3 linked regions of the Mus musculus genome follow. The protein of the gene in region 1 interacts with the protein of each later gene in a pairwise test. Links are inferred from orthologs where the notes say so. Each region holds a gene or a part of one and is shown on either strand. Other genes may lie near its edges.

The links. The genes of interacting proteins can lie anywhere in the genome.
Region 2: the proteins of Lzts2 (region 1) and Fkbp6 interact in binary tests that used the Homo sapiens proteins (3 or more experiments, as listed by UniProt). The two-hybrid records come from large-scale screens. The link is inferred for Mus musculus from reciprocal best matches to the Homo sapiens genes LZTS2 and FKBP6.
Region 3: the proteins of Lzts2 (region 1) and Thap7 interact in binary tests that used the Homo sapiens proteins (3 or more experiments, as listed by UniProt). The two-hybrid records come from large-scale screens. The link is inferred for Mus musculus from reciprocal best matches to the Homo sapiens genes LZTS2 and THAP7.

Annotation. Positions count from the first base shown.
Region 1 is NC_000085.6:45,014,392-45,022,386, forward strand, and holds the start of Lzts2 (leucine zipper putative tumor suppressor 2), read left to right. Parts: upstream 1-3,743; 5' UTR 3,744-3,839; intron 3,840-6,995; 5' UTR 6,996-7,037; coding exon 7,038-7,445; intron 7,446-7,446; exon of another isoform or gene 7,447-7,879; intron 7,880-7,995. UniProt on the Homo sapiens protein: Negative regulator of katanin-mediated microtubule severing and release from the centrosome. Required for central spindle formation and the completion of cytokinesis.
Region 2 is NC_000071.6:135,345,711-135,353,701, reverse strand, and holds the start of Fkbp6 (inactive peptidyl-prolyl cis-trans isomerase FKBP6), read left to right. Parts: upstream 1-3,710; coding exon 3,711-3,767; intron 3,768-3,788; exon of another isoform or gene 3,789-3,826; coding exon of another isoform or gene 3,827-3,883; intron 3,884-3,966; coding exon 3,967-4,084; intron 4,085-5,735; coding exon 5,736-5,825; intron 5,826-7,409; coding exon 7,410-7,612; intron 7,613-7,991. Other genes in the region: E3 ubiquitin-protein ligase TRIM50, read right to left, coding at 8-406. UniProt on the Homo sapiens protein: Has an essential role in spermatogenesis. It is required to repress transposable elements and prevent their mobilization, which is essential for the germline integrity.
Region 3 is NC_000082.6:17,526,772-17,534,536, reverse strand, and holds Thap7 (THAP domain-containing protein 7), read left to right. Parts: upstream 1-3,484; 5' UTR 3,485-3,512; exon of another isoform or gene 3,513-3,559; intron 3,560-3,679; coding exon 3,680-3,759; intron 3,760-4,151; coding exon 4,152-4,307; intron 4,308-5,461; coding exon 5,462-5,602; intron 5,603-5,796; coding exon 5,797-6,349; 3' UTR 6,350-6,555; downstream 6,556-7,765. UniProt on the Homo sapiens protein: Chromatin-associated, histone tail-binding protein that represses transcription via recruitment of HDAC3 and nuclear hormone receptor corepressors.

The DNA.
Region 1 (7,995 bases):
TCTCACGTGACCGTGAGGGGGCGGCTTTAGGTCTTCAACAGCTGTAATGTGGGCGAGTCTGAGACCAAACTCACCTTGGTCTCCTGAACCAACTACTCAGGCAGTGGGCCTGGCTCAGAGAGCTGTAAACTTAAGCCTTTCCACAATATACCTGGTAAGTCAGGGAGGAAAGGAGCCTTTGGTACGTCCCTGAAATACAGGCCAACTTCCTGTTTGCTCCTGTGGGTGGGACTTTATGGATCTAAGGGAAGCCTAGCTGTGCCCTATGGGGGGCCAGGACTAGCAGCTTTCTCACCTGGGTTGCTAACTACTCTAGGGAAAGAGGCGGTACTAGGTCTGCCAGGACAGCCCCCAGCCAGCCCCAGCCCTAATGAGTGTGTGTGTGTGTGTGTGTGTGTGTGTGTGTGTGTGTGTGTGTGTGTGTGTTTTATGAAACTCGATACTTCTTTGTCTGCTTCCTAGGGATTTTCCCTCTTCTGGTTGTGAGCAGAGTGGACCGGACTGAGTTCCCCACAGAGCAGGAGAGAGGCAATCTCTACCGTGCCTTAGTTAAGGCTGCCAGGTAGCTAAAACGTCAGTTACGCCTGCCCTCCCCTTAGGTCAAAAGTCAGTATGCTGTGCAGTCAAAAGGCCAGAGAGACAGCCTTAGGCCACCACCAGGCTACTTTTGGACTGGGTACTGGGTCAGGCTACTTTTGGGTTGGGTACTAGGTTAGCTATTTGGAGGTGCGGGGCAGACCACTCCCCTCTGGGGGGGGGCGCGGCTTCAGCCGCCCCGCCCCACTCTTCCAGGGCTGGCCTGGCGGGAGCGGGGAGCCGGGAGCGCTGAGCCCGGAGCCGGCTGGAGAAGTAGAGTTCTATCACGGCGAAGAAATAGGCACGCTGGAGCGGGAGCCGGGCCAAAAAGGGAGCAGCGGCGCAGGTGACGCTGGGTGAGTGGTGGGGCGGACGGGGTGCAGGAGCTCCGGCTTCCCGCAGGTCCTCACTTTGGAGAGAACTTTACGCGTCTTGGGATGAGGAAAGGGTCCGCACTCTGTGGACCGCAGGCGAAACAACAGCAAAGGAGTAAGAAAACTTACACACACGCGCCGACACACACACACACACACACACACACACACACACACACACACACCCATGCATTCACTTAGGACGCGAACACACGTGTGCTCAGGAAAGGACAAACACAGCGAGGTACCCTAGCTGTCCCAATGGCAGTACCACTAGCTCGCGCGACTCCCCACCCCACCCTGCGACCTGGACGCTGAGTTTTTCTGCCCAAGGCTGAGTGAGAGAAAGGGGACGCCCTGAGACTATCGGCGGGGGCGGGCGGGGTTTGTCGCACCAGGCGGTTCCTGCTTCCCAGCCGGCTGCCTGCAGGTGAAGACCAAGACGTAAACAGGCGTTGAGCACGTGATTGCTTCGCAGCCGGGTGGGTAGTGCTCCCCAACTCCTGTCTAGGCAGGGACACCCCTCTCATCTACCTCTCCGCTGGTCCTAGCATGTTTGTTTCGCCCTGTATGGAGCTTTATTCCACACTTCACCTGGAATGATGATAAATCCTCTCACCCAGAATGGGAGCTCAACGCCCCTGGGGGCCTGGGTGACCCGGAGACCTGGAGAGGGTTGGGGCTAACTTGGGCTCCTTGCCTTGGAGCTCACTAGCACGTTCTTGGAACCCGTATCCTTGAAAGGTATCCGAAAGGACCTTGATGGCCCCAGACAGCTGCCCCGGTCTCATACAGCTCTGTCTTTACGTCCTCTTCCTACCGCCACCTCCACCCCTTGCAGGACTGGGCACAAATAGCCCACTCAAGCGAGAAGAGTCTCCCCTCACCCCTCCTCAAAGGGAACGCACCAAGAGTAAATATATCCTTAAACCTAAGGGGAGTGTGTCTCCTCTAGGTGGAAGAAAGATCAGAGTCCCCTCTCTGAAAGTGAAAGAGGGGGCTGCAGCCTCTTCCCCCTCCGGCCCCCATCCTTCATTCCCCCCACCCCTCACCCGGCCACATGCTGAGCCCAGCTGCTGCCTGAGCTTCTGGGCTGGAGGCCAGAAAGGGGAGGAGGTTCTCGGTGCCCCAGGAGGCAGGGATCAGGGCAAGGCCAGAGGAGGGGGTTTCTGTTAGGGAGAGGGGTTCGGTATGTTCTTGTGAAGCTGAGGGGCTGGAGTGAGCCTGAGGGTGGCTAGGCTGTGTTTTCCTTTCCAGGGAAAAAGAAAGAAAAACAACCCTTTCCATGGAGCTAAAAATAGAGCTGAGAGCCGGCCAGGCTGTGGCCTGGAAGGGGGGGGGGTGCTTCTTCCTGGGGCTGAGCCCAGCTCTGGCAGACCTTGGGGGGGGGGGCGGGGGGGATCGGGGAAGGGAGGATGGCCTTGCCAGAACATGTGAGGTCGGCTGACCTGAGCAGGTCACAGAGACCCCTCAGGGAAAGTGGGTAGTTTGTGAATATGATGTAAGAAGTTTCCAGAGTGGCTGAATCCGGCTGTCATTGCGTGGAAGAGGGTTGGGAGGCTGAGTGTATTTAAAGAATGTGACTGGATGCAAAGGACTGTTGTGCACTCTCCCGTGCACGAAACACCAAGCCTTCTGTGAGTTGGCCTGAAGGATTATGGAATGAAGATCTATGGAGCCACGTGATGGATGAGACTGACTGTGGCTGCCCGAGACTGAATGTGGGAAAGGTCGTGTGGGTGTTAAGACTGTTGTTTTCGAGAGGGTAAAAATATTTGTGACCCCAAGAGAGACTTTGGGATGTCTGCTGCGGAGCCAGTGTAGGTTTGAGCTGTTCGTTCTTGAGATTATTGGGGGTCAGGTATCCCTCCCACCCCCTTTGAGCAGCGACCCTTCTCATAGCAAATGACCCCCGAGGTTCGGCTAGGGAGGCTGGAGCCATGCCAGGGACAAGCCTGGGCTCGCGGCCCGAGGGTGCTGTGCTGGAAAGGGAGTGGGATTGGTGGGGGTCTTGGGGGGGGGGGGCTGGTAAGTTGCTGGAAAGGGCCACCAGGTGGCGCCGATTTGGAAAATCCAAGCGTGTGACCTCCAGCCTGCTGGGGGTGGGACAGACAGCGACCGAGCCAGTCCCTCAACTTGTGCCCAGGAGCCGGCAACTGGAGAGGGATGGCTGACCCCCTCGGCCTCCCCATGGACCGGGAAGCTGGAGACTGAGGAGGGAAGCTTCTCCTAGAGGAGCGGAGGGGGAGGGGCGGGGCTGGCGCCGCGCCTTGGCTCTTTGTGCTGGAACAATGACCAGCTGCCGCTGGCCCTTGGGCTCCGGCAGGGATAGGCGATGGTGACCCGGCTCGATGAGTCTCGAGCCGGCCGAGCCTCCTAACACACACACACACACACACACACACACACACACACACACACACACACAGAGTCGCTAGGCCACTCTGGGAGGAATCCCGAGCGCTACCGAGCACACACACACACCACACTTAACACACACACACACACACACACACACACACACACACACACACACACACACACACACACACACACAACACACACACACACACACAGTTGCTAGGCCACTCTGGGAGGAATCCCGAGCGCCGCCGAGCAGCCCCCGCGTGCGCCCTGGCTGGCACGCGTGACGTGGGTTACTTGCGCGTGTCCGCTCCCCGGGGCGGGAACGCCCCTCGGACCCCTCCCCCCATCAGTGCGCACCGCCCACTCGGGCCGGGCGGGGGCCGGTCAGGGCCGGGGGCGCCGGCTGGGCGGAGGCGGGGCCGAGCCGGGCAGCTCCGAGTGGCCGCGCGCGGGCTGGAGCGGGCGGCGCGCCTGTGGAGTGCTGGGGCGGCCCGGGGCTGAGCATGGAGCAGCGCGGCGGAGGTGAGGGGTCCAGGGCTGAGGGTGCCCCAACTTCTAAGCGATGCGGTCCGGTGGGGAGGTGGCATTCCATAGACGCCCCCAGTTTATGGAAGGAGCGGACTATTGTGGGTGGCGGGGGGGGGGGTGGGGGGACACGACGACTCTGGGCTTTCAGTCTCGGAATGGCAACTCGTGATCCCAGACTGGATCCTGCTTGACTGGTCTCTGGAGTTTGAGTGTGTGTGTTTGGGGGGACTTTCCCCAACTCTCCAACCCCAGCCCTGAGGTCAGAGAGTTGGGACGTGGGCCAGACTCATCTCAGGCCCTGGCGCGGCCCCAGACTCTAGAACCCCCAGCTTACTTGCTGGGGTGGGGGCGCAGGGGTCTGTGTACCATAGTGATAGGTCAGGGAGTGCTGGGGAGAACCAGGGCTTTCTTTTTCCCACAGCTACAAACGCATTTCTCAAAATGGAGCCGCTTGCCCCTCCTTCTCTCTTGGGCCTCAAAAGCGGGAGCCAGGCTGGCTAGGCCTGGCTTTCCTGACGCCTGGCCCTCAGAGCTCAGCTCTGTGGCTCCTCTGGCTTTAGGGGTCCTTGCCTGTGTAGCTTCAGCGACCCTAACTCATGGGTCTGCCTCTGGCTCCTCGTGTCTGAGCCTCTTGGCCTTTGTCTCTTCTGTCTTCTGGCTCCTGTCTCTCTGAGTGTCTACCCCGGCCCTTGCCCTTCCTTCTGGGTCTCACTTTCTGTGTCCTCTGGAGTAGGGACAGGAGTGCCAGCCCCTTCTCACTCCTCACTATACTGTGGAGCAGTCTCCATCCCTAGGCTGGACCTTTTGGGGGCGATCTCAGTACCTACCCTACAGAGAAGTTGCTACACTTCAGTTCCTACCCTAGCTCTTAGCAACTCCTTCCTCACGCTGGACTCCTGTGAGTCTCTGGTCTTAACACTTAGAGGCACTTAGTGGAGAACAATATACAAAGATAAGATGGGGCAAGGGCGTCAGGCACTGTGATCTCACCTTTCCTCAAACTCTTAAGTTAAAAAAAAGTTTTAGGGAGGAGGAGTCCCCATTCACATTGGTGGCTTTGAATGTCACCCAGGTCCTCATGCACTCCCAGAACGCTCACTTATACAGATTGGTCCTGGGGAGCTTTCACACACTTTTCTTGTGTACAGTAGGAATCCATGTAACTGTCCCAGGAGAACTGCAGGCGTCCTGTAGAGATTTGTGTGTCTCAGTCTATGAGAGACTTGACTCAATGGACCCAAAGAAAGGAGGATTTTCCCTAGAATTTCATGCTAGGAGAAGAAGCAGAATGGCTTACTGAGGATAGGTGACTGGAAGATTTAGTGGTATTTACACAAACCTCACATATGTGTGCACAAACTGGTATATCTATCCAAACATTTCTCTTTTTGCCATATAGTGACATCCAGAGCCCACAGATTCATTTGTTTTATACACATTAATAACTGTGTGGTGTGCTTTCTAAGTTACGAAACTCATAACTTTGTAAAACATAAGAATTCACACATACAGCCTGGTGGTGGTAACACACACGCCTTTAATTCCAGCCCTCAGAAGGCAGTAAGAGGTGGATCTCTGAATTCAAGGCCAGCCTGCTCTACAGAGCAAGTTCCAGGGCAGCCAGGGCTACACAGAGAAACCCTGTCTTGGAAAAACAAACAAACAAAAAACAAACAAAACAGCAAAAAAGAATTCACAGTGGGCAGTGGTGGCGCACACCTTTAATCCCAGCACTTTAGAAGCAGAGGCAGAAGCAGGCCGATTTCTGATTTCAGGGCCAGCCTGGTCTACAGAGTGAGTTCCAGGATAGCCAGGGCTATACAGAGAGAACCTGTCTCGAAAAACCAAAACCAAAACCAAAAACAAAAAAAACCACACATACAGCTCGGCATATTTGCACAAGGTTAGAATCCCAGCTCTCTGAGGCAGGAGGATCTGAGTTTGAGGCCCACCTATGGTACATAGCACAACCCTGTTTGGTTTTGTCATGTCCCCTACATCACACACACACATATACACACATGTATGAACGTACTGACATCTGTCTAAACCCACATGGACTGCACAGTTTCATGCATATTCTCACAGATACTGTTCATTTTTTTATGACCCTGTCTATGTACTCACACCCACAAGTAAATGTACACACACACACACATACACACACACACACATACACACACACACACATTCTTCTTTCTCATGGATCCTCAGTCCACTTTTTGGCCCCTTTGCTCTGTGATGACTTCAGCAGATGCCTAAGTCTTGGTCATCGGCAGCCTTGGGACTGGGCGGGAGTTCCGTTCTGGGTGCAGGCTTGCTGTTCTTTCCAGGAAGGAGTAAGACTAGGGGAGGCGGAGCCAGCCATCTTACTTGAGCTCCTACTAGACGTGGTAATGGGCTCCTGCTCAAATTCCATAGGGGTTATTCTGAAGATCAACTAAAGCAGGAAGGTTTATAAAGGTTGGCAGTGGGACAGGGCCTGGGTAGGCTCCCTTAGTCCCGAGTGATGGCAGAAGCTAAGAGTGACATGGAAACAAGCACAGCCTGCATCAACCTCTGGGAGGTAGGAGAGACCCCAGAGGGCACCTGTGGATTCCTAAGACCTGTAAGGTTTCCTGTTTGGCCAGCTCCACCCTCGAAGCCGCCTGAGTGTCTGGGAGAAACTGAGGCCCAGTGGTGGGAGGCTGGACAGCGCCTGGCTTTGACTCTTTGTTCCCTAATTACCATCTGAGTTGCTGATTGCATCCCTGACGTGTCCTCTGCCCAAACAGCCCAGTAATGAGGCCACCTGTCCCAGGAGAGTAGGGACCTGTACTGGGAGCTAGAGTTAGGGATCTCTGCCCAATCTGAGTCTTTGGCTATATAGGGGATACAGGTTGGGGCTTAAACTAGGTCTTCTCTGCCAAGGAACCCTGTATAAATGTTTAGATCTCCCATTCCTTCCTCTCTGTGTGGTCAAGTTATTCCTTAGCCTTGTTCCAGACTAGAGTTGAGGCCCAGAGGAACTCGAGGTTCATGCCAGTTCTTGGAAGGGAAGCCTTTTTCCTAAATGGGGAATGTTCTATCTGGAGGAGGGGGTCAGGAGAAGGCTTATAGGGGGAGGATCCTCAAGGTGCAGGGACTCTGACACCAATGCCCTGCTCACAGGTTGCCCCGGAGGCCCCTGGCCAGACCTGAGCCTCTGCCACCATGGCCATTGTGCACACTCTGCCAGTGCCTCTGGAGCCCGCACGTGAGACAGCCACTGCCCCCAAAACTCCAGCAATGGGCAGCGTGAGCAGTCTTATCTCAGGCCGGCCCTGCCCCGGGGGACCTGCTCCTCAACGACATCATGGTGTCCCTGGGCCCACCTTCTTCCGCCAGCAGGATGGGCTGCTACCGGGTGGCTACGAGGCACAGGAACCGCTCTGCCCGGCTGTGCCACCGAGGAAGGCTGTCCCAGGCAATAGCTTTACCTATGTCAATGAGGACTTCCGGACAGAGTCTCCTCCCAGCCCCAGCAGTGATGTTGAAGATCCCCGGGAACATCAGGCACACAATGCCCACCTCCGTGGGCCCCCACCAAAGCTCATCCCTGTCTCTGGAAAGCTGGAGAAGGTAACGGGCAGCCCTTTTGGGAGGACCTGGGTGGGAAGCCAGGAGCCCCTCAGGGAAGCTAGAATTTGGAAGCGTCAGTAGAGCAAAGAATATGGGTTCTGTCTTACCACTCAGACAGTGAAATAACCTGTCTGAGCCCCGTTTTCTGTGTCTTTATGGTTACGGTTAGAGGCTAATCTTTGTAGGTTCCTGTTAGAATTAATACATAGTAAAGTACCCAGCAACCTCAAATGAACAATATAGTAATTGTCTGAGTTAGTTTTATTTTGTTTTTTGAGACATGGTTTCTCTCTGTAGCCTTGGCTGTCCTGGAACTCACTGTGCAGACCAGGCTGGCCTCGAACTCACAGAGATCTGCTTGCTTCTGCCTCCCGAGGGCTAGGATTAAAGGCATTTGTTACCACCTCCAGCCTAGTTGCTTCAATTATTCAGAGGTGTGTGTATGTGTCCTTGGGCAAAACCTTTAACTTTACTATGGGCCTCTACATCCTTGTTTTTAATATGAGAAGAGGATCATGTTTTGTTTGTGTAGCTATTATGATTAAAAAAT
Region 2 (7,991 bases), on another chromosome or scaffold:
CTCGCACCTTCATGCGGCTGTAGACGGTGGAGACTGGTGTGACTCGGTGGTGTTGGTGGGAGCCCAGCAGGCCACAGAGACCACAGATGAATTCCTGGTCTTTCTCGCAGAAGAGGCTGAGAGGGTTTCGGTGGTGCACGCAGACGGTGGGCTCTATGTCCCCCGGCAGCCTCAGAGCATCTATCACCCGGGCCAGGGAGACATTAGGCGGGGAGCTGCTGCAGTCTACTGACTGACGACACACAGGACAGCATAGCTCGGAGTCCAGGTGTTGGGACAAGTTATCCAGGCAGTCCTTGCAGTAGGAGTGGCCGCACTGTAGCATCAGAGGCTCTTTGAAGACCTCCAGGCAAATGGGACACTGCAGCTGGTCCTGGAGTTCCGGCACAGTCAGCCGCCACGCCATGCGCACAGCTCAGCTGCAACACAGGTGGCAGTCAGTCCTCTATCCTGCCGCCCCCTCCCTCTGTCATATTTTCCCTTCCCCCAGGGCTGCTGAAAGCCTAGGGAGAAAAGGATGCCAGCCCTGGATTCTGATCCTAGCGCCTACTATGACTCTGAGCCTCAGTTTCCCCGTCTGGGAAAAAAGGACTTAAGTGGAAAACAATGGCCACTATGAGTCTGGATATATAGATCAACTGCAAGTCTAATTCAGAGTTTTTTCTCCATACATGAGGTCCTGGGTTCAATCTCTAGCATCACAAACGTCACATTGAGCTAGGACCTTCCCCCATGTAACCCCAGCATCTGGGGGGGATTGAACCCAGAGCCTTGCGCATGAACAGCCACTCATGAAATTGTCCTGAAGCAATGATTCTCAGTGTGTGGATTGCAACCCTTTTGAGGTTCCGACAACCCTTTCAAGGTGGTTGCCTAAGACCACTGGGAAAATACAGATGTTTATAACAGTAGCAAAATTAGTTATGAGGTACCAACAAAAATACTTTGTTATGGTTGGGGGGGGTCACACAGCATGAGGAACTGTGTTGAGGGCTGTAGTGTTAGAAGGTTGAGAACTGCTATTCTAGAGATTCCAGAGCCCCAGTTCCAGGCAGGGATTCAACTTCAAGGAAGATTCTCTCTTGAGACCCAGAAATCTGTAATATACACCTTCAAGCCAGGCACTTTTTGTTTATTTTTTTGTTTTCAAGACAAGGAATCTCTGTGTAGCCCTGGCTGTCCTGGAACTCTCTCTGTAGACCACGCCGGTCTCCAACTCACAGAGCTCTGCCTGCCTCTTCCTGTCAAGTGCTGGGATTAAAGGCAGGGAGCACCAGGAACCTGCCGCCTAAGCAATCTTAAAGCCAGATTGTTACTTTTTCTTTTTGGGATAGGGGTCCTGTGGACGGTGGTGGCCTTGAACCCTGTATGTAGCTGGGATTGCAGGTGTGCTCCACTATACACAATTTAAATAGTTCTGGGTATAGACCCCTTGGGGGCCTTAAGCATGCTTGGTAAGTCAGTATCTACTCAGTAGCTACATCCTGAACAACAAGAGCAATGTCCCTTGTCCCAGGGTAACACTGTCCTCACAGAGTCTGAGATAAAAAGAGCCTTGGGTGTTCATCTTCCAAAACAGAAACAAAGTCTCCACTGAGCAAGATAGCAGCAACTCGACCCACATCCCACTACCGCATTACCTGATTTCTTGTGGTCCAGCAGGCCTCCCACTAGGGCCTCAAACAAGCAGCTCTCTCTGGTCACTGAAGCCTTTCCTTCCTCCCAGAATGGGGAAGCTGACACGGAGACCCGGGGCAGCCAGCTGGACATAGATGCCACTGCCTGGTGTCTGCCCCTTCTCCCATCCCCTCCCCTTTCCCGGCAACACCTGTGTCCCAAGGTCATCCAGAATCAGGTGGGAAGTGGGTCACACACCACGAGACTGAGGCGGCGGCCTCTGTTGGGTTCCCTTACGATAACCTACACAGGCAGATTGTGTGGCCTTGCCCAGGATGGGGGAAGGGCTGAGACCGTGCGCCAGCTCGGAGCACAAGCAGGTATAAGCTTTGTATGACGAGCAGCTTTCTGAATACCTCAACCCGGAAGTTTAAAGGTATTTTATTTATTTAGATTTTTCTCGTTTTCTAAGTTTGGGTCACACACACAGCAATGATAAAATACGCTGCTTACTCTGATTTTTCTCATTCGAGGTGTAACATGTGAACAGATCTTAACCACGCAGTGTAACTTTTATCTTATTTGTGTACACTCATGCTCAAGGTCAAGTTGTAAACTGGACAGAGTGTTGAACACCTATAATCCCAGAACTTGGGAAATGCTGACCGGAGGCCAGAAGTCAAGTTCATTCTCAGGCTATGTAGCACACCCAAGGCCATCCTGGACCTCATGAGACTATCTCAAAAGCAAAACAAAACAAAAAAATCTAGTTGTAGAGAATTTGCAGAGTCAGTCCTTTGCCTCCTGCCAGAACAGGCTCTGCAATCAACACAGTTACCGTTCTGGTTCGTATCCTCCTACCAGCTGCCCGTATGTATGTATGTATGTATGTATGTATGTATGTATTTTAACATTTATTGTGTGTGCTTGCAGGTGCAGGCCACCTTATGCATGAGAAACCAGGGGATAAAACTTGCAATAGTCAGTTCTCCCCTTCCACCTGTAGGTCTTGGCTGTCAAGGTTGGTGGCAGACACCTTACCCACTTGGCTATCTTGATTGCCATTGTTTGTTTCTTGCCTTGCTGGGAGATAGAACCAGGGTCTTGAGCATGCTACAAAAGCGCTCTACTCCTGAATTATCTCCCTATCTTATGGGGTCTGTTTGTGAATTTGATGTGAACAGTACTCTTTGACTCTTTCTGTCAATGTTACTAAAATATGAACTTTTAACATGTGAAATCTTGGAGCCAGCTGTGGTAGCAAACATCTTGATTCCCAGCACTTGGGAGACAGAGGCAGGTGGATCTCTGTGACTTCTCCAGGCCAGCGTATTCTGCCTAGCTAGTTCCTGGCCCACAAGACTACATAGTGAGATCCTCTTTGTGAGAGAGAGAGAGAGAGAGAGAGAGAGAGAGAGAGAGAGAGAAAGAAGAAAGAAAGAAAGAAAGAAAGAAAGAAAGAAAGAAAGAAAGAAAGAAGTAAAGTAAGGAGGGAGGGAAGGAGGGAGGAAGGAAGAAAGAAAGAGAAAGAAAGAAAAGAAAAAGGAAGGAAGGAAGGAAAGGTGAACTCTCGGGTTGGAGACATAGCTCATCAGCAGAAAGCTTGCCTGGACTCCTCGGTAAAGCAACTGGATGCCTAGTTCGGAGGAGGGCCACGTACTTGTATCCTCCTGGGGCTGTGACTCAGTCGTAGATCGCTTGCCTAATAATGACCACTTTTATCGCCAGGCCACATACAAATAAGCTATTGAGCATCTAAGACAACCGCGAGGCAAAAAGCATGCGTTGGTTTCAGTCACTAATTTTGTAGCAATGTGTTTTGCTTTTGTGACAGAACGCCAAGCATAACATTGAGACCAAAGGAAAGGCTTTTTTTGTGCCGCATAAAATGCTTTGTCCGAAGCCCTCCCAGGGCTCCATCCTGCTTTGCGCCTGCCATCACGTGTGCAGCGCGTGCTGGGAGACCCTCAGCGCATGCTCGCATGCTCGCTGCGTCTATCGATCACGTGCCGTTTCTCTCGTGCACAGCCCGCGTGGTGCCTGACTTCCGGGGTCGTTTCCGGCAAGGCCTTTGGAGACAGTTGTGCGGCAAGATGAGCGTCTTCTCGCGCCTCAGGAACGGAATCCCACCGTCGCGAGACGACTGCCAGGTACGGAGCGGGGTTCGGGAGCCTGGGAGCACGAGCTGGGGAGCACCTGGAGCGCGGCCATGGGTGGCAGCACCCGAGACCCGGGAGCCCTGGAAGGGGCTGGCATCCTAGGCCAGGTGAGGGCGGGACCATGGCGCTGGCCTGAGGCGATGAGGCAAGCGGCTTCCACCTCTGAGGCCTGTGGCTTTCTCTCCACCAGTCTCCCTATGAGCGACTAAGTCAACGCATGTTGGACATCTCCGGGGACCGAGGTGTGCTGAAGGACATCATCCGAGAGGGCACTGGCGATACCGTGACACCTGACGCTTCTGTGCTGGGTATGGAGGCCGCTGCTGGCTGCTCTTTTGTCCTTGGGTTAAGTTTGTTTTTGTTTTTTTTGTTTTGTTTTGTTTTGTTTTGTTTTTTAAGACAGGGTCTCATGCAACCCAGACTGGCCTCTTAACTGCCGCTCTAGCTGAGGTTGACCCTGAACTTCTGATCTTCCTGTTTCTGCCTTTCAAGTCCTGGGCTAATGGTTGGCCACCACTACGTTTTATAGTGTGCTAGGGACAGAGCCCTGGGAATGTACACCAACCCTCTTGGCAGGGTCAAGGTGTTGTTTCCAGGTACCAGGGATTGAACCTGGAACCTGAGTACCTTCAGTGAGTGATTGCATATTTACAAAATACGGCGTTTTATGGGACTGGCTGTGTTTCCCCTGAACAAAGAGGGTTTGGTTTTGAGAAGCAATCTCATGTCTGCAGGCCTCAGACCGTATGTAACCAAAGATGACTTAGAACTTTTGTGTCACCTCCCAAATGCTTAGACTACTCGTGTCTGCTAACATGCCTGGTTCTGAGGTGCTGGGGATGGAACCCTGGGCCTTCTACATGCTACTCAGACATTCTACCAACTGGGCCACATCCTCTGCCTGTTTTGTTGTTGTTTATCTGGTTTTGTTTGTGGTTTTGATTTTCTTGTTTGTTTTGTTTTGGGGGTGGAGTGGTGGGGTTGTTGTTGTTTTGTTGTTGTTGTTTGTTTTTCAAGACTGGTTTCTCTGTGAAACTCCCTTTGAAGACCAGGCTGGCCTCGAATTCACAGAGAGCTGCCTGCTTTACCTCCCAAATTGCTGGCATATGCCTTTGTTTTAATTTTTTCTTTAAAGATTTGTTTGTTTGTTTGTTTGTTTGTTTATTACATCTAAGTACACTGTAGCTGTCTTCAGGCACACCAGAAGAGGGCATCAGATCTCATTACAGATGGTTGTGAGCCACCATGTGGTTGCTGGGAATTGAGCTCAGGACCTCTGGAAGAGCAGTCAGTGCTCTTTAACTGCTGAGCCATCTCTCCAGTCCTGTTTTAATTTTTTGTTTGTTTTTGAGATACGGTTCACTGTGTAGCCCTAGGTAGCCTGCAACTCTGTATGTAGTAGACCAGGTCAGGCTCTCCTCAAACCTCAGAGATCCACCTGCCTCTGCCTCCGTAGTGCTGTGCATCACCAAGTCTAGCCTTTTTTTTTTTTTTTTTTTTAAGACAGGGTCTCCCTGTATCTCAAGCCAGTCTCAAATTGACCCTCTTCCTGCCTTAGCTTCTTTAGAGCTGGGGTGACAAGTGGCTGCCATTTTTGCCTGCCTTGAGCTTTTCAGAAACAAAGCAGGCTTGGTTCATCAGGAGAGCTTTTGAACCTCAGAGCTGAAAGTCAGATACTCAGAACCCCACAAGAAGCTCTCCTGCGAGTCGGGGTGCCAGGCAGCGTAAACTCATTTAATTCTCCCCCACCCCCGGACAGCGTCTCTGACTAGACAGGTGTCTAGCACTAGCATAGATTTGCAGTGTAGCTGAGGCTACTCCTGTCTTCACTTTCCCAAGTGCTGGGATTACAGACGTCCTCTACCACGAACAGCCAATCGTAGTGTTCCCTGTTGATGGCTCTGGCGGTGCCTCAGGCATGGTTTCCTCACATTCGTGCTGTCTTTTCCTCTGCCTTAGTGAAATATTCTGGATACCTGGAGCACATGGACAAGCCTTTCGATTCTAATTGCTTTAGGAAAACACCTCGGCTGATGAAACTTGGAGAAGGTAAAGTCACCTGGGTCATTTGGGCAAAAGAGGCCATGTTTTAAGACTGTCACAGCATCCAGGAAACAGGTTCTTAGAGTTTGTAGCTGAGCTTGGGTTTCAGGGAAGCACCCAGGTTGTCTTGTCACTTTTCTTCTTGAGACATTATTTTTGGCTGGTAGCCTACCTGGCAAGTTTATCTTGGCATCTAAGTTGCCCATTGGGTGCTATTAAAATTTTTATGTATATGTGTATGTGTGCCCAGTGCCTGCAGAGGCCAGAAGAGGGTGGCAAGCCGCCTGGAACTGTAATTAGGCAGTTGTTGCCACCATGAAGCAGTAAGCACTCTTTAACTGCTGAACCATCTCTCCAGGTGCAGGGCAGCTTTTAAGACGGAATCGCACTGTGAAGCCCCCACCTACCATCAACTCAGAAGTCTCCTAGCTCAGCTCTGCCACGATAGGGTGATAAACATGAGCCCCCACACCTGGATCCACTGGACAAGATGCTTTGTGCATTTATGAAATAACATAGTAAACGCTCCCTTCCTAGCGTGTGTAGTGAGATAAGACAGCACAGGGTCTGGGAGAAGGAGTCAGTAAGTGCTTGCCACTCGAGCACGAGGACCTGCTTTCCATCCCATAGAGCCCGTGGGTTTGAGTTTGTTGGTTGGTTTTTGTTTTATAAGGTCAGCTATAGTAGCATATGCTTATAATCTCAGTGCAGCAGGGCAGAAACAGACGGCTCCCTCGGGTTCTCTGGCCAGCCAGCCTCCTTAGCAGACTTCAGGACAATGAGAGATTCTGTCTCAAAAAACAAGGCAGATGCCCCTGAGGAATGACAGTTGAGACTGTCTTCTAGCATCTGCATGCATGTACACACGCATCAACACATACACGCACACATCTCAAGAGGCCACACTCAGATGATGAGATCCACATCTTATGGACCTTGCTAGGGCTGGGGAGCTTGGTCTCTGGTCCAGAAATGGACGATAGAATTAAATGAAGCCTGGAGCTCTGAGGGGTAACCTGGGTCTGCTTGGTGACATTATAGTTGCCCTCCTTTTGGCAGGGTCACAGGCATTCTGTGAAAAAGAAGGCTTGAGATGAGAGCCCTGAGGTTTGAATAAGATTTCAGTTGTGGGACTTGAGAAATGGCTCAGAAGTTAAGAGCATTGGCTGCTTTTCCAGGAGATGGGGTTCAATGTACAACACCCATATGGTAGCTTACAGTCGTCTATAACTCCAGTTTCTGGGGATCTGATGCCCTCTTCTGGCCTCTGTGGGCAGTGATTAAATGAATTTGGCACACATACAAACAGCAAAACATACATAGAAGTACACATAAAACTAAAGGAAAAAAAATCTTAAATTTCAGTTACAGTAGATAGACCACAGGCATTAATGGCAGAGAACTTAAAAGAAAGAGCAGACTATGCAACAGAGATGGAGCCTGCAGAAGATGGCGTCTGGGGAAAGTAGGACAGCAGGAGCAAGACTGAGCACTGAGTTGGCACCCAACCCAATGGGCTTGGGTTGGCATAGGGAAACTGGTACCTGTGAACGGACGGACTGAATGCTGAGTGAACCTCCTTTCTTCCAGATATTACACTCTGGGGCATGGAGCTGGGCCTTCTGAGCATGCGCAAAGGGGAACTGGCCAGGTTCCTGTTCAAGCCAGCCTATGCTTACGGCACCCTGGGGTGCCCTCCCCTCATCCCGCCAAATGCCACCGTCCTGTTTGAGATCGAGCTGATTGACTTCCTGGATTCTGCTGAGTCAGACAAGTTCTGTGCACTCTCAGCTGTAAGTTCCAGGCCTTGGACTTTCCAGCACTTTCTAAATGGAGGGATGGGATCATATTTGGGTGGCTTTGTTAGAACCCCCACCCTGACCTCCACCCAGCCTACTGCACAGTGATATCTGCTTTCCTCTATCTGAGGTAATGTAAGGTATAGATTAGCTCTGTATTAGCTGTTTGCTATTTAATTATCTTTTGCTTACTTCTCACTCAAGTTGGAGGCTACTTTTCTGGAAGTTAGACACTGGTAGCTTAATAATGAAGGTTATTGAGGCTTGGGAATGTGATAGAGTTCTTGCCTAGAACCCCCCACTAAAGGCTGGGGCTATGTATGTCAAGTAGTAGAGTGATAATATTAACAAGCCCTCAGTTTTATTCCCAGGA
Region 3 (7,765 bases), on another chromosome or scaffold:
CTATTAGTTATAAAAGCTTAGGCATGATAGCGGGCTACCTCCCAGGCTAGTTTGATGAAATTATTTATTTTTTTAAATTTTATTGGGTATTTTGCTTATTTACATTTCAAATGCTATCCTGAAAGTTCCCTATACCCTCCCCCTGCCCTGCTCCCCTACCCACCCACTCCCACTTCTTGGCCCTGGAGTTTCCCTGTACTGGGGCATATAAAGTTTGCAAGACCAAGGGGCCTCTCTTCCCAATGATGGCCGACTAGGCCATCTTCTGCTACATATGCAGCTAGAGACACGAGCTCTGGGGGTACTGGTTAGTTCATATTGTTGTTCCACCTATAAGGTTGCAGACCCCTTCAGCTCCTTGGGTATCTTCTCTAGCTCCTCCATAGGGGGCCCTGTGTTCCATTCAATAGCTGACTGTGAGCATCCACTTCTGTGTTTGCCAGGCACTGGCATAGCCTCACACGAGACAGCTATATCAGGGTCCCTTCAGCAAAATCTTGCTGGCATATGCAATAGTGTCTGGGTTTGGTGGCTGATTATGGGATGGTTCTCCGGGTAGGGTAGTCTCTGGATGATCCATCCTTTCGTCTTAGCTCCAAACTTTGTCTCTGTAACTCCTTTCATGGGTATTTTGTTCCCTATTCTAAGGAGGTATGAAGTATCCACACTTTGGTCTTCCTTCTTCTTGATTTTCTTGTGTTTTGCAAATTGTATCTTGGGTATTCTAAGTTTCTGGGCTAATATCCACTTATCAGTGAGTGCATATCTAGTGACTTCTTTTGTGATTGGGTTACCTCACTAAGGATGATATCCTCCAGATACATCCATTTGCCCAAGAGTTTCATAAATTCATTGTTTTTAATAGCTGAGTAGTACTCCATTGTGCAAATGTACCACGTTTTCTGTATCCATTCCTCTGTTGAGGGACATCTGGGTTCTTTCCAGCTTCTGGCTATTATAAATAAGGCTGCTATGAACATAGTGGAGCATGTGTCCTTATTACCAGTTGGAACATCTTCTGGGTATATGCCCAGGAGAGGTATTGCTGGATCTTCTGGTAGTATAATGTCCAATTTCCTGAGGAACCGCCAGACTGACTTCCAGAGTGATTGTACAAGCTTGCAATCCCACCAGCAATGGAGAAGTGTTCCTCTTTCTCCACATCCTCGCCAGCATCTGCTGTCACCTGAATTTTTTATTTTAGCCATTCTGGCTGGTGTGTAGCTTGATGAATTTAATAAATCCATGTCTGTAACGTGGCCTATTACCTTTTTCTCACTCACTAAGTCCGAGCGACTCCGTGTCAACTTGATTCTTCCAACAGAGTCCATCTCTGCCCAGAAGTCCCGCCTCTCCTCTCCTGCCTCAGCTACTGGCCGTCAGATCTTTGTTAAACCAATCAAAAGGTGAGGGAGGTGTATGTTTACAAAATACTGAAGCAGGTGATGATCCATAAAAATAACCAATACCAAAGTCCAGCCAGCACTCAACTCGTCACCGGTACAGAAATCAACATTTGAATAGTACAAAGACAACCTTTACACTGTGGGAAAAAAAAGATTACCCCGACAGACTGTGGTCTGCTAATCTAATACACTTGGAAGGTCCCTGCCCCCGCTGCAACACTTACCTCTCCTCCCTCTGACTTGAGCTACGTCAGTTAGCCCCACTATTTCAATAAAATACTCACCACTGCCTGAGACCCTGCTCCCCAGCTCCTCTGCATCCTGAGACCACCAGTGATCAACGCCCAGTCGGGAGCAAAGGACCCACATCTGGGGCTCAAACAGGGATGCTCGGAAGATGGCAAGGATTTCCTTCTGAGGGACATCAGCATCCCAACCTGAGGATCCTCAGCTGGTTCTTCCTTCTTCCTTTACCTTCAATTTGAGGCATCGCAAGGGACTGACTACGGTGAAGGGGCAACTTCTTTTGGTCGGGGCTAGCCTTGAACAGGCTGAATCAGACCTTGTTTTACCACAGTTGCCTAGCCCACCTAGGGTGGAGTCTTCTAACCTAGGTGAAGTCTATTGTCTGGCCACATCTTGTGGAGGAGCGCCCTGAAGACTGCCCCTAGGTGGAGCTCACTGCCCTTGAACAGGCCATTGAGTATATTAGAAAATGACCTGCCACATCCACACACACCCTCTTTATGCCCCACTGATGCCTTATGCCCCCTCCTGCCTCCCTCACACCCTAAGAACACTCATAGAACTCTTGAAGGCTCTTTGTCTTCTACCTCCCACACCCACCAACTATGTGAAATTAGAGATTCGTCCAAACTTCAGCACAAATAAAGTAACACCTGGGTTTTCCATGTTTTCAACTCACTTACTCTCTGCCCCTACACTGGTATCCCTACTGGGCCAATGAATTAAAAGAGGTTAGACAATCAAAAGGAGGATGGTACTCATGCACCCTGGGCCAAATCCATTCTTCTGAGTCTTGTGCAGCTCTAAGTACACTACTGAGCCAGCACATCGGTTGGTCCTTCTTGCCCCCTATTCCTTCAATGGGAGGCTTTATATAGGGATGAATGCCTCCAACAGATCAGGAAAAATCAAAACCAACTAAATAGGGGCTTCGATGACCTTTTCAGCCAAGACAACTCCTCTACAGGAGCATAACAGGCTACCCAACCTCGCCGGTACTTAGATCAAGTATGCCTTTGTGCCCTTCAGGCCTGGAGTCCCATAACCTCCCCTTCTGCATCCCAAGATTGTAATTGTTCACCTCTCTTCCCCCAGCAGAAACCCAAGGAACCCATTTCTGACTTTGTTCCTGCTACAAAAGTGAGCCTAGAATGTAAAACGCCTGATCCTGTGGTCAGAGAAATCCCCCTTCAAAGCATCACTGGGGAAACCGTGCTCTCGGAACACACCGGCTAGCGTCTCAGGGTTTGAAAAATGAACATTCCGATAACTGGACAGTTGCTACTTAGTATATTGGGACGGCCTCCCATAAGGTCACTATCTTCACCCAGGCCTTTACAAGGCCATTAAAAGAAAATGTTCTAAATGTGTCGTTAACATTTTATTTTGTGCATGTATATGGGGATCAAAGGACAATTACTGGACGTTGGTTCTCTCCTTCCAGCAGGTTGCGTCCTGGGGATCAAATTCAATCTTCAGGGTTGGTAGCAAGTGCTGAGCCACCAGTCCGTGGCCGAGTTCTTTCAGTAAAGAGCCCAGGTTTTTCTTGGTGGTGGATCTTTTTCAACCAGAGTGTGCGCGTACGTTGTTCAGGGAGCAGTACAGACCACACCCAGCTGCTTCGTCCAAACGACAGACGCTCAAACAAAACAGGGACCCGAAACTACAGATGCAGAAACCTCAACTCGGGAGCGACGATCGCCATCCCTCACTCCCAACATCCGGTGGCCCGCCCCGCCAGGATCTCTTCCGGTCCCGCCCCTTGGGGGCCCGCGCCACGGGCGACGGAGTATCTCTGCTCCCAACTTCCGCGTCGATCCACCCATCGCGAGATTTTGGCGGCGCAGCAATGGCAAGACCGTGAGTACCGCTGACGGGAGTCTATAGAACGAGCTAGGACAAGACTGGTACGGGGTCGGGCCTCGGGGAGCCGACCGGCTCGGGCCCTCTGGAGGGAGTGACAGTTGGGCGTGAAGACAGTCCTCCCCCGACTGCCGCCCACCACCCAGATCCCGCCCCTTCCCCAGATGCCGCGACACTGCTCCGCCGCCGGCTGCTGCACACGGGATACGCGCGAGACTCGCAACCGCGGCATCTCCTTCCACAGGTCAGCGCGCGTGCGTAGTGGCACGCGAGGGCTCATAGCGCAGGCGCCGGTGTTGCCGCACCTTAGGCCTCGCAGGAGACGGCGCTTTCCCGAGGTCGATGTGAGGCTTGAACTTGTGAGCGGGAGGGTGACAGGGAAGGGCGCATAGTCTCGAGTCCAGCCGGAAAAAGGACTGGACGCTTACCTGGCTTGGATTTACAGCTCCGACTCATTCCTGCTAGATGATGCTGAGCCGGCCCCTTTCTTTCTCTCGTTCTCAGTTTCTCCTTTCCCCCAGCGGGTGGTAATCTGAAAGGGTCGCGGGGAGGTCTGCCATTCTTGCTTGGGGAGCTTGGGCATCCTGAACGCAGGACTGTAGACAGTCTGGTGCTCACGGTTTTGTGGCTCTGCAGACTTCCCAAGAAAGACAACCCCAGGCGCGGCTTGTGGCTGGCCAACTGTCAGCGGCTGGACCCCAGCGGCCAGGGCCTGTGGGATCCGACCTCTGAGTACATCTACTTCTGCTCCAAACACTTCGAGGAAAACTGCTTTGAGCTGGTGGGAATCAGGTGGGTCTTTCTGCCAGCTAACACCAGGACAGGTTGTGAGGCATCAGAGCAGTGGGTCAAACGAGGCAGCTCTTTGCCCTGGTGGAGTCCATGCACATCCGCTGGCATGCTCAGAGACAAGCAGACCAGTTGTCAAGCGTGCCAAGCCTCTTTCCAGTTTTGTACAGTTAAAGCATGATCCCAGGATCACTGTGCCAGTGACATTAGAGAAAATCAGGCTTTCCAGGCTGGGGAAATAGCCCCCTTTGCTAAAGACGTGGTATGCAAGCATTAGGACCTGATTTCAGATTCAAGGACCCAAATAAAAAGCCACATGTGATTGCTTGTTCCTTTAATCCCAGTCCTGGAGAAGACAAAACAAAAAGGGGATCCCAAGGACTTATGGAAAAGCTAGTCTAGATGAGTTGTTGAGCCCTGTGTTGAGTTGAGAAACTTGTCTTTAAAAAAATAAGGTGGAAGGGCTGGAGAGATGGCTTAACCATTTTAGAGCATTACAGAGGACTGGGGTTCAATCTACCTCTGAGGGCACGGGTACACATATGTACATGCAGGCAAAATATTCATACACATCAGTAGAGCTGGCTCAGAGGTTACGAGCACTCACTGGCTGTTCTTCCAGAAGACCTGTGTTCATTTCCCACCACCCACATAATGGCTTATAGCAGTCTGGAACTGGAACTGGCTCACTCCAGTTCCAAGTGATCCTTTATCCTTTTCTAACCTCTGTAGGTACTAGGCACGCATTCGGTGAACAGTCATAGGCAAACACTTATACACATAAAAATAAAAAAGGTTTTTAAGGAAAAAAATCTTTAAAAACAAAGGTAGAGAATGATTAAGGAAGTCACCTGAGGTTAGCCGCTCCATGCAAAAGAAAAACAGCTTTTTCATAGGATGGTTAGCACCTAGTTCTTCCAGCCGTCCACCTATCCCTGCTGGTGGGTTCTCCATTCACCTTAACCCGGGAAGCTCATTCACAGGGAAGATGAGTTTGATTTTACCACACGTGGCATTCTTGAGATTGCTACTGGCAGTGTGCCTTGGGGCCTTTCTCATCCCTAGAGGTCCTACGCCTCTGCAGGGCCTTATGTGGGGAATCAGGGGACGTGGCAGCGTTCTTTTCTCCAGCTCATCTGGGCTGCTTTTCCCCACAGTGGGTATCACAGGCTGAAGGAGGGGGCAGTCCCCACCATATTTGAGTCTTTCTCCAAGTTGCGTCGAACAGCCAAGACCAAGGGGCATGGTTATCCACCTGGCCTGCCTGACGTCAGCCGGCTCCGGCGATGCAGGAAGCGGTATGTGCTGCAGGACCGGGGGATGCCCCACCCTCACCCCAGGGCTGAGGGGCTGGACCTAGGGTGAATGCCAGCATCTTCACTGAACTATTTTGCTATCTAGACCCAGTAAAGGGGGCTCAGATGTTAGGGAGACTAAATGGGCTAATGAGAGGAGCCTGGCATGCCTTAGTTTCTTTCTGTTTCCCCTCCAGCTGCTCCGAAAGACAAGGACCCACAACTCCCTTTTCTCCACCTCCTCGTGCCGATATCATCTGCTTCCCTGTGGAAGAAGCCTCAGCACCTGCCACTCTGCCCGCATCCCCAGCTGTGAGGCTGGACCCTGGCCTTAACAGCCCCTTCTCAGATCTCCTGGGCCCTCTAGGTGCTCAGGCGGATGAAGCGGGCTGTAGCACACAGCCCTCACCAGAGCAGCACCCCTCCCCTCTTGAGCCACAGCCTGCCTCCCCATCTGCATACATGTTACGGCTGCCACCTCCTGCTGGAGCCTACATCCAGAATGAGCACAGCTACCAAGTGGGGAGCGCCTTGCTCTGGAAGAGGCGAGCTGAAGCAGCTCTTGATGCTCTGGACAAGACCCAGCGCCAGCTGCAGGCCTGCAAGCGGCGGGAGCAGCGGCTTAGGCTGCGACTGACCAAGCTGCAGCAGGAACGGGCACGGGAGAAGCGAGCACAGGCAGATGCCCGCCAGACTCTGAAGGACCATGTACAGGACTTTGCTATGCAGTTGAGCAGCAGTATGGCCTGAGAGAGGGACTACATGCCCAGGCTCTGGCTTCTTTTTCTCAGAGACACTTGACCAGAACTGCATCCACTGGGCTGGCCAAATGTTACAATAAAGTGGATGCTAGAAAGAGACTGCTGTTTGGCTTGGCTGGAGGTGCCCGGCTCCTCCCCAGACCATGGCCAAAACCCTAGAGAGCTCAGATCCTGGCATGCCACCTCTTGACCCTGGTTAAATCTCTGTTTGCAGTCCCTCTGCCTGTATAGTTACTCATGTAAGAAAGTCAGCTCCTCAGAGGTTAGCTCTGCCCCCTCCCCCTCTTTGAGTCAGGGTTTCATATAGTCCAGGCTGGTGTGTTTGTAGCCATACAGATAGGTGCCATCATGACCAGTGTCAGACTTGGAATGTATGTAGAGGCACAAGCTTCAGCCCATGGGCCTCATGTTTGGCCAGTCTCTTGCATTGACCACACTCCTGGCCCCTTTGCCCTCAAAACCAACATAGGGCACCCTACACTTGTCAGGCTGTAAGGCTGTACCTAGAGAAATGCTTTTGGATATAGTGTTTGAGGTCCTGGCCTAGATACTATATACCTTGGGAATGTAGGCTTCTCGCTTCAGCCGTGTCCATGGTAAACATCAAGTGTACACCCTTTCCCTGCTGTTCCTTAGCTCAAGCACAGTTGAGGTGATGGCTGTAGTTGGTACACAAGGTTCTCAGAGTTTTCTTTTTTGGAGCTCTGGGTGTATATTTATTTGTGTCCTGTGTAGGAGGGATGGTTGAAGGGCCAGTTACAGTGGGCATCATGAAGATTTCACATGGTCCTTCAGAATAGGTTTGGACGAGGCCACCTTTGGGAAGTGGCTCTGACAACGCAGCTGACTCATAACAAGCCTGCCTGGCTGGCCCCTTCCACTCAGCTTAGCTGCTACTTGAGTCAGCTACCAGCCTCAGCTTGTGCCAGGTACCTCCCTGTATTCCCAGCGCATCTTGCAACCAGACCACTTCTTGTCTGTCATTTTGGGACACTGCCACCCTGGGCACCTTTCTACCCAGAGTCCCACAGCATGGGGTGAATGAAGCACAGAAGAGAAATGTGTTCTAAGGCCAGGAAGAGCCAAACAGAAAATGAGTTCTGGTTTCCTAGGAAATAAGACAGAGTAGGTTCCTGAACTCAAAAAACAGGTCCACTGTGCTGTATTGGGATATAGGCTTTCGTGGCCTGCTGTCAGATAACAAGGATGGATACCTTGGACAGTCTAGGGCTCTGTGGAAATAGGTATGCAGTTTCTTCTCCCTTGTGACTGACACAATGTATTGACATGGGCAGAACAGGGAAAATGTACTAAACCCACATCTATCCTGAGCTGTATAACTGTCACATGCTACAGGAGGGCAGACCAGTGATGGCAACCATGTCAGGCAAGTGTGTAAGCAGCA